Arabidopsis thaliana: one gene and its partner. The protein of the gene in region 2 interacts with the protein of the main gene of each other region in a pairwise test. Each region holds a gene or a part of one and is shown on either strand. Other genes may lie near its edges.

Region 1 (5,228 bases), on a different chromosome or scaffold from region 2:
TCAAATTAATTAAAATTATAAGACAACTAATCAGTAGATTTCCCACCCTATAATCACAGATACTCAAGATACTTAAAAGTCTAAACTCCCAATGTTTAGGTTGCTAAATTTATGTTGCAATCAACAAAAAAAGGGTCAATAATGTGGTCAAAAGAGTGAGTGATAAAGGGGTATAATGGTAAATAGAAAGCAAATGATTGAGGAAGAAGTGTTTGGAGAACGTGGGAGAGAAGAAGAGAGAGAGGAGAGGGTCTCCGTTACAGCGAACCATAAGCCCCACGACATACCCGCCGCGTGTGGACCCCATTACTTCGTCCGTTATTGCTGACGTGTCGAGACCGTTCCACATGATTGGTTTTCACGTTTGGGTCCCATGTTTTCGCCGCCAGCCGCGCGTGAGCTGTCTCGACCAGAAATGACTGTTCCGTCCACGTAGGCTTGTGTCTGAATTCTCCACCGTCAGATCTTTTTGGACCCTTCTTTCCAAGATTTTTATGCTTTCCAATGTTTTCATGCACGTTGCAATCATTCAGGATTCGTCCAAACATTTTACTATATGGTTGTTTTGAGATAACATGCTTAAGATAATGGCTACTATTTCTAAATTAAGTTTGTTTGGGGGTTACATAATCACTCTTCTTATTCCTAATATAACCCTCAAGGTCAATACACAAAGGCAAAGTATTGAGAGCATCAACATCACCTAAGTTTTATTGTGTCTCCTTATCCTTTCTACTACAACTTCTATATACAACAAAACACATCTTTCATTTTTTTTTTTGCTCTAACTTTTATAAGAACATGATAAACAAAACAAAAAAAAACCTACACATCAAAATCATTTGACTTTCCATCTATCAACTTATCCATCAACTTACTTTCTTGAGGTCTCTTTGTGTCCATCTTCTCCTTGTTCTGCCTCCTCTCTTATAGTCATTTGTTGTGGCTCTTTTTGTAGTTTCCTACAGTCTAAAGTGTAACAAGATAAAGATTATATATAGATTATGTTTTTTGAAATGTTGAAATACACTAGATCTTTGATTAGGAGACTTTTATAACAACAGCTCTAAGAGACTAAAGTGAGTGAATGCATCACATTTACTTACATTCGTCATCATCAGTTTTGAGTACTCATTACACTTCTTCAGACAACAACAATATCTTTCACGCCAACTTCATTACACTTTTGTTGATGATTCTAAACGATCATTTGCTTCCTCTTCTTGTATTTGTCTCAGTCTTACAATCGCCTCTATGAATTCGTTGTAGTCTACTGTGTCTTCCAAGTGCACATCCGTCTAAAAATGATCCCAGTATGTAAGAAAAACTATGAATCAAACTAATTACTAAATCCATATATATTAAGACAGTACTAGTGTCTACTTACTGGTATTTGCATAAGACTATTGATGTCAGAGTTGTCAAGATTTGTGTTAAATCTTTCAAGACCGTTTTTGAGTTCTTTATAAGTTACTCGCCCGCTCTTTCCACTGTCTATAGTCTTGAATGTTTCTCTGAGCTCGTGAATCTCTTCTTCGGAAAGCCTTTCTGCAATCACCTGCAAGTCCAACACTAATAATCAGATATTCTCTCATCAAAATCATCTAAAACAAATCAAAAAGGTTTTATTGTATGTGGTACCCTTAAAGCCATCTTCTTAAGCTTGTCTGTTGCTGAAAACTTCTTCAAGCGACTCAACACAGTTGTGTCAAGTGGTGTATCTGGTGCATTTCCTTCATCCCTAATCCATGGATGGCCTGAAAATAAAATGATTTAAGTTTTATAACTGCCTAAACTATGGAGTTTCATGATTCTAGGGACTTACATAATACTTGTTGAGCAGTGAGTCTTTGTATGGGATTTCTTTCAAGCATCTTTCTGATCAAATCTTTTGCGCTTTCAGAGACTTGTGGCCAAGGATCTGATGTCAAATCAAGCTCACCCTCCAGAACCTCATTGAAGATTTCTTCTTCCGTTTCTGCTTGATACAACAAACACACATTATAACACCTCCAAAAACATATATAGTTTGTGTTCAAAGTAACAATCTTACCTCCCCAAAACGGAGCTGAACCAGACAGTAACACGTAAATCATCACACCTGCGCTCCATATATCTGCTTCTGGACCGTAATTCTTGTTCAGAACTTCAGGCGCAATGTAGTAGGGACTTCCAACCACATCCGTAAAGTTTTCTCCTTTAAACAACAATACACATATCTCAGGATAACATCTATCTAATGTGAGAGTAAAAAAAAAACTCTGTTTTGTAAGAAACATACCAGGCTTGAGAAACATAGATAACCCGAAATCAATAGCCTTAAGAGGCGAATCCTCGTCATCGTTGACAAAGAGAAAGTTCTCAGGTTTAAGATCTCTGTGCATCACACCTAAAGAATGACAAGTCTGAACCACACCAAGTATGACTTTAGCCAAATGAGCAGCTTTTCTCTCAGAGTAATGCCCTCTCTCCACTATCCTATCAAACAGCTCACCTCCTCTACACAGCTCCATCACCATGTGAACAGCCACTGAGTCCTCATAAGCTCCTTTGATGGAGATCACATTTGGTTGCCCCAAGAGATGTTTCATTATCTCAATCTCTCTTCTCACATCCTCCACGTCTTCTTCGTTCTCTAGCTTCCTCTTCGGAATCGACTTGCATGCATATTCCTCCCCTGTTCCTTTCTCAACACACACAAACGTAGTCCCAAACTGTCCATGACCTAACTTGCTACCCAAGTTATAATATTCCTTCAAATGCCCTGTTTTGGTCTTCAACACTGACTCTGCTTGTAGCCCTGCACTCATCAGTCTCCTCACATTGTGAGCCTTTCTTTTACTGTTAGCACACGCAATCGCTCGCTTCTTATACTCTTCGTCACTGCACTTCCTTCCTCCTTGTCCCTGACTCGTTTGCTTCTGCGCAGGTTTCTCTTTCCCCTCAAGTAATTTAGGGTCACCATGAGTGTCATTAAGCTTGGTTTTATCATCATCCTTGTTCATTAGCATTGGCTGAGGAGGCTTGTCCTGGAGTTGTGGCTTCAAGGGATGATCCATGATGAGATCTGTGGGACGAACCCATGAATTCGATTTCGTATCCACACAATTGTTGACCATATGAACACATACATTCCCCATTTCTACAATCTAAATCTCCCAATCAACTATATGCTATACAATAATCTACACGAGAAACGTATACAGAGAATCGTAAAAAGATAGAGAGGAAAAGTCCCTTTTCTTCCTTTTTTTCCTTCCTTTTCACGCAAGAGAAAAAACCCTTAACATGATCTCATAGAGACAAAGATCTCTCCTATCTAACAACATAACCACTTCCATGAAGAAAGACAGATAAATCTCCCACAAATGAATTCTGATCTAAGGGAGAAAGATCTCGAGGTCGGCTGAATAATTTAATCAATTCTCACAAAATGCTACGAATCATCTCCTTTGGTAAGAAACACACACAATGCACAAAATGAAAAACGAAGAATAAGAAAATGGGAATTGAGAAGGAAGATGATTTGACGAAAAGGAATTGGGTCTCACGTCGTGACTGAATTTTTTGGGGGGATTTATTAGGGTTTTTGGCCTTTCTCAATTAAATAAACTTGTTTGATTCTCTCCTCTAACATATGACTCTGTGAGGTTGTGTTAGAGATTATTTAGTGTCTGTGTGAATACATTGATTAACAATTTGGTCCCTTTAAACTCCGTAATTAATTAATTGTTAAGAAAAATCTTCAAACTCAATTGAAGACCAAAAAAGTATATTTCTTGTTATTTTCTAAATTACTCCATGCCACAAAATGGTAACCAATCTTTCAAAAAACGTAAGGTTAGATTTCAAATCTTTAATTCCACTCAAGCATATCACTCTACTTTGACCATTATTATTTTATTACCATTTAATGAAAGGTACGAATTGTATAAGGTAACATGTTTAAAAATGTAAAATAACTTTTAAGACAAAGTGATAATAAAAGACACAAGCATAACACATAGTAATATAGTAGTATGATGATATTGATAGATAGTAGTAGCACCCACTCGGAAAAACGTGCAAGCCGCTAACATTAGACTACAATCCCCACGCTTCTTAGAAAGTCACATTACATTTTTAAGATTATATATGCCAAAAGCTAGAACAAGACGACCTTTGTGAAAAAAAAAAAGAAGAAGAAGAAGAAGCAGACGACCTTTCTCAAACGTCCTTGGCCAAGCCCGAGAGATCAATCTCGCCAGAGGAGTGTGGTCGTGTAGGGGCAGTTTCGTCATTGCGGTGCTCCTCTACCTTGGGATGGTTTTCAATGGGTATCCCTCCTCTCCTGGTGCTTGGGTGATGGTCTCCCATGATATCAAATAAGCTGCTTGTCATCTCTTCAGCCGCATCAAAGAAACTCTTCATTCCGCTCAAGAAATGGCGTTCGATGGCGTCTACATCTCTGCGGAGTCCCGGGAAGTTTAGCGGGTTTTTATCCTCAAACTGATTCGGAAGAGCGGATCTTCCCACCATCTGGTCTGTCACATCCTCTTCTGTGTGCTCTGTGTTGGATTGAACGACTTCAGAGGGCCTAAAGCAGATACAGAACCAAGGGTAAATCGATTTAGTGATTGTCTAGAGGCGCGAAAGGTAACAAACAATCAAGGTGCTTGAACATTTTAATGGCTCAATCTCAAAATCACACATGAAAGGGCGAGAAAGAAAACAAGAGTTGTCTTCCAAAGGAAAGCATTACATTTAACATGGAATAACTCATATCACAGGTAGCAAACAAACAAACATGAAGCTCGCCGAATACACAGAAACTGTGATGTGATACTCTATGCATCTTCTTCTTATATGAGAATACTCCACTTACTTAACCCAAAAAAGACTAACCAGCAGTTGCTCCACTTACTTAACCAAAAAAAACATGCAAGTTATAACACTACAAAGATGATAAAATCATAAGAACTTTTATAATGAAACATTTTTACCATAATGGTTCAGTGATAGAGAGTCCTTTCGAAGAAAACAACATCAAACCACAAGAAGTAAGCAATGTAACCATTCCAGTGCATAAACACAACTATCTTTCTGCAATTCATATTAGTAAGCTTAGCATCAGAAACACAAATTTAGAGTCAATCTTTAACTATTGGCTTTTAGCTTTTACATAACCACAAAAACGTCAAAATTTTTTAACTCAGAGCTCAAAACAAACACACTTCATCTATTTGATC
Region 2 (4,539 bases):
TGATGGTGAGACCTTAGAGATCATGTGTTCTGCTTGGCCTGATACCATACAGATCACCAAGTTCTTTGTTCGTAAAAGCAGCCAGAACTCACCAAATGCCTATATTGGACCTGAATTCCAGTACTGTGATTTGATCACTTCTTTTTTAAACATAAACATTTTCTTTTTGTTTCTGATACGATGGAACTAAACTGTCTTTTGTTCAATTTTACAGGGAAATGGAAGATGAACTTCAAGACTCGGTTTATCGATTTTTGGAGGAAAGAGGTATAAGTGATGATCTTGCTGAGTTCTTGCATCAGTACATGAAGAACAAAGATAAAGCTGAGTATATTAGATGGATGGAGACTGTTAAATCTTATGTTGAGCAAAAATAAAATCTTCTGCCGACCACATTCTTAAGCAGCCAATGAATGTTCCCTTGGATATATGATTATATGGCTTAGATGGACTTTTATTGGCATGGTTCTTAGTTTCCAGAGGTAATGTGACATTTAAATCTAATATGGATTAGTTGCGAGCATATATATGATAATGATTATATTAAAGCCGTATTGCATGTAGGCGCCATGTACCCTTTTCAATGCAGCAACATACTCCCACAAATAAAAAGTTACAAGATGAGAGAAACAGATGGTTGTACTGTATGTGTGGCATCTCCAAAATAACTCAACATTTAACAAGCTCGTCTAGACTGCAAAGACAGGGATGAAATTTTCTGTACACAATATTTATGTTTTTGATCTTTAGATTCTTTACTAGAACACCGATAATTGCAGAACAAATTGACATCATGGGAAAACCAGACGTGGCCCAACATAAAGATGAAACGAAAGAAATGGGCAAATTCTACTTGGTTATCCAGTAAATGAATATGAGAAATGTGCATACAGCCGCAACGAGTGAAAGAATGATTGTATCCATCGACTTTTTCCTCTTTATCGCTGCCAGAATAGTGTTCACCTGCAGTGGTTTTAACCATCCAATTGCAGGGTGAGATATAGGATAAACACAGGCCATAACCGAACATAAAGAAAGCAACGAGCAAAAGAGTGTGTAAATAAGACTAGGAAAGCTCTTCGTACCGTAGGTAGACGGCTGGCGACATTGCTAAGCTTTGAGTTGATGCCTCCAAAAGTTGAACGTTGAAACACAAGCGTACCGAGTGTTGCCTGAGCTTGTGAAATGACACCGTCCATCTGCACCGTTTATATAATAGTCAGCTCACATAAGTCATGACGTGTTCGATTAACTTGAGAAAGCCAGGCCTATTGTACGCTACAGCTGTAGAGTCTAACAAAGGTTAATCGCAAAGGAGAGTTTATATACCTGAGCTGTATTGCGGTTGATTCCCATATGTTCCTTGATCAGGGCTTGTTCAGACCCATATCCATCTTCTAAATCTAATCTAGTCCGATCAAATTCTCTAAAGTCCTCAAGAAGTGAAGCATGCTCTTGTTTTGCTCTAAGACTGGAGCGGTGTCGATAAAACTCCTGCATTTTGAATGAGTCATACATACAGGAACAAGACTGATTTACAACGAAGGTTGAGTCATAAACTAGTCCAAGAGCAGAGTGTGAACAGATGGTTAAAAAGATAACACTCATTTCATTACTAATCAGTATATAATCAACACAAGCTATAGAATAAGGCAAATATTCAAATGGTATGAGTCAGGAAAGGAACAGTACCTGTGTCAGATCTTGAAGGATCTCTTGATGTCGAGTTAAAGTATGGGAGACCATTTCTGACCCACCAGAAGATACCCATGCTTGCATCTGAGCATTAACTTGTTGCAGTTGCCTAAGAAGTAAGTCAATCCCAGCTTCAAGATCACTCTCATTACCATCTGATTTTGATAAAGCCTTTGTGGAAACAAGTCTACGATATGAATGCATCTGCTCGTCAAGCTGAGCTTCAATCTTTCTAGCCTGTGGGATTCAATACAACACAAAGCTTATTCAAATATCAATTGGATCCAGTAAAAAGATAAATCATTGAGAATTAGCCAACAAAACCAATAAATTCCCCAATTCGAATCGAACCCAGAAGATTGATATCAATTCAGACCTCAAATATTCGAAATTCAAGACAGATTTTCAGACACTACCAGCTTCCCCAACACAATTACCTAGTAGCTTCGAATCAAACGACACAATAATTTTATAAAAAGAAAAATACCTGTTTCCGTAAAGCATCCCAAGAGCTAGGCACATCCATGGCGTCTACTGAATCTGTCAAAATCTCTCCTTTATGAAAGCGGATCGTGTCCTTTCCGGCAAGAGACCTTTTTCCGATATAAATCAGATGCGACAATCTTCTTCCTCGTCCTCGTCACCAAAGGTTTGAGCCCCTAAAAGATGCGATCCAATTGGTTCGAAATTGAGACAAGTAGTGAACGGAACGGATCGGATTGAGAGAAGGATAGAGTTGGTTCGGAGACGCAGACAGAATTTCTGCGTACCCCTTCAACGGAAAATTGCTTTTCAGTTTTGCGTAATCACAAATTAATTAATTCGATGACCTGAGATTCGGCGGGTATAATCCAGTGTTTTCCACCCTACAGTAAGTTTATATATAAGTTGACCTACACATTTAGTCAAACTTGCAAGCGATACGTGGATAATAGTAAACCTTAACATAAACGACATCGTTCTCCAGTAAAAATAGACCCGGCTCGATGGCTCGAGTCCTAGAAGCTTACCGGGTTCTCTCATCAAACTGCTCCATTCGGATATACTTCCACTCTCAAGTCTCACTCCCTCACAATCAATTCAAGCGATTGCCGCCCGTCGTCGCTTTCAAATTTGTTCTTCCGCCGGTAACTAATTCTCTTTCGCTTTGACTACGCTTTTGCTTCACTGCTTCGATCTCGTTCGGTTTCCTTCTGTTTGCTTCTTCAGAAATTCCTCGAATTGCTTTTGATCAATCTCAACTCAATCTGTGGATTACTATTTCATCGTGTTTTCACTTGTTGGTGCTCGGGAAAATTATGCAATTTTTCGAGTTGTTAATGGCTTTAGTTCTTCGTGTTTGCTCTTTAATGAATTACGAACTTTTTCCAAAGAGAAATAAGGTCTATTTTTTTTGGTGAAAGTAGGAGATTTTTTATGGCGGAGGGACAATTGACGAACATATCGGAGATGATACTGAAGAAGAGGAAGAAAGGGATGAGCTTGAATTGAGTAATTACGGCAACAATTACAGTAGCAGAGTGTTACATTAGTTGAAAGTTGAAAGATAGTTGTGCTCTTCATATTTTTTTATGGTCAATATCATTTTGTGGATAGAAAACTTTATCTTATAGTTTCTTAATGTTTGATGGTCAATGTCATTTTGTGGATATCTGAACACGCATCTTGACTTTTCGTTGAAGCTGCCACTTTCAATAAGATATTAGAACTTGCAGTCTGACTTTTAAATTTTCTAATCAATATCAGGAGGGCACGATTGTACTCTTTTTCCTCTTCTCCATTCAGTGCTCCTTATCTTGTGTTGTTTCCTGCATCGTCTTGATATTTGAAAGTTTGAGTAAGATGGGAAACTGTGTAGCACTAGAAATATCTTGTGATCAAACGTTGAATCATGCTTGTGGCTGCTTATTTGGTGATCGGAATTACATTCTCAAGATGGAGGCTAATCTCGAGGCTCTGCAGAATACTATGCAAGAGCTCGAGGAGAGAAGAGATGATCTGTTAAGAAGAGTTGTCATAGAAGAAGACAAAGGTTTGCAACGGCTTGCTCAAGTTCAAGGTTGGCTTTCAAGGGTTAAAGATGTTTGTTCTCAAGTCAATGATCTGCTGAAAGCTAAATCAATTCAAACTGAAAGGTTATGTCTCTGTGGATATTGTTCTAAGAATTTCATATCTGGCCGCAATTACGGAATAAATGTACTGAAAAAGTTGAAACACGTGGAAGGACTTCTAGCTAAAGGAGTTTTTGAAGTGGTGGCAGAGAAAATTCCTGCGCCTAAGGTGGAGAAGAAGCATATCCAAACCACAGTTGGGTTGGATGCAATGGTCGGAAGGGCATGGAACAGCCTCATGAAAGATGAACGAAGAACTTTGGGTCTTTATGGTATGGGGGGAGTAGGTAAAACCACGCTCTTAGCTTCTATTAACAACAAATTCCTTGAAGGGATGAATGGATTTGATCTTGTTATATGGGTTGTGGTTTCTAAAGATTTGCAAAATGAAGGCATTCAAGAACAGATTTTAGGAAGACTAGGTCTTCACAGGGGATGGAAACAAGTTACAGAAAAGGAGAAAGCCTCTTACATATGCAACATCCTCAACGTAAAGAAATTTGTGCTGTTATTGGATGATCTATGGAGCGAAGTAGATTTAGAAAAGATTGGAGTTCCACCTCTAACGCGAGAAAATGGATCCAAAATAGTTTTCACCACTCGTTCTAAAGATGTTTGCAGAGATATGGAAGTTGATGGTGAGATGAAAGTTGATTGTTTGCCACCGGATGAAGCCTGGGAACTGTTCCAAAAGAAAGTTGGACCAATCCCATTACAGAGCCATGAGGATATT

The links.
Region 1: the proteins of GOS11 (region 2) and CPK25 interact in a protein complementation assay, tested with the Arabidopsis thaliana proteins (one large-scale study listed by BioGRID).

Annotation. Positions count from the first base shown.
Region 1 is NC_003071.7:15,065,997-15,071,224, forward strand, and holds CPK25 (calcium-dependent protein kinase 25), read right to left. Parts: upstream 3,364-5,228; 5' UTR 3,141-3,363; coding exon 2,282-3,140; intron 2,198-2,281; coding exon 2,054-2,197; intron 1,979-2,053; coding exon 1,826-1,978; intron 1,758-1,825; coding exon 1,642-1,757; intron 1,559-1,641; coding exon 1,388-1,558; intron 1,299-1,387; coding exon 1,179-1,298; 3' UTR 618-1,178; downstream 1-617. Other genes in the region: AT2G35900 (Mal d 1-associated protein), read right to left, coding at 4,207-4,576. UniProt on the Arabidopsis thaliana protein: May play a role in signal transduction pathways that involve calcium as a second messenger.
Region 2 is NC_003070.9:5,457,869-5,462,407, forward strand, and holds GOS11 (golgi snare 11), read right to left. Parts: upstream 2,492-4,539; 5' UTR 2,222-2,491; coding exon 2,183-2,221; intron 1,933-2,182; coding exon 1,693-1,932; intron 1,495-1,692; coding exon 1,330-1,494; intron 1,200-1,329; coding exon 1,086-1,199; intron 964-1,085; coding exon 850-963; 3' UTR 530-849; downstream 1-529. Other genes in the region: AT1G15870 (Mitochondrial glycoprotein family protein), read left to right, coding at 1-120, 215-377; AT1G15885 (uncharacterized protein), read left to right, coding at 2,682-2,822, 3,102-3,227; AT1G15890 (Disease resistance protein (CC-NBS-LRR class) family), read left to right, coding at 3,538-4,539. UniProt on the Arabidopsis thaliana protein: Involved in transport from the ER to the Golgi apparatus as well as in intra-Golgi transport. It belongs to a super-family of proteins called t-SNAREs or soluble NSF (N-ethylmaleimide-sensitive factor) attachment protein receptor.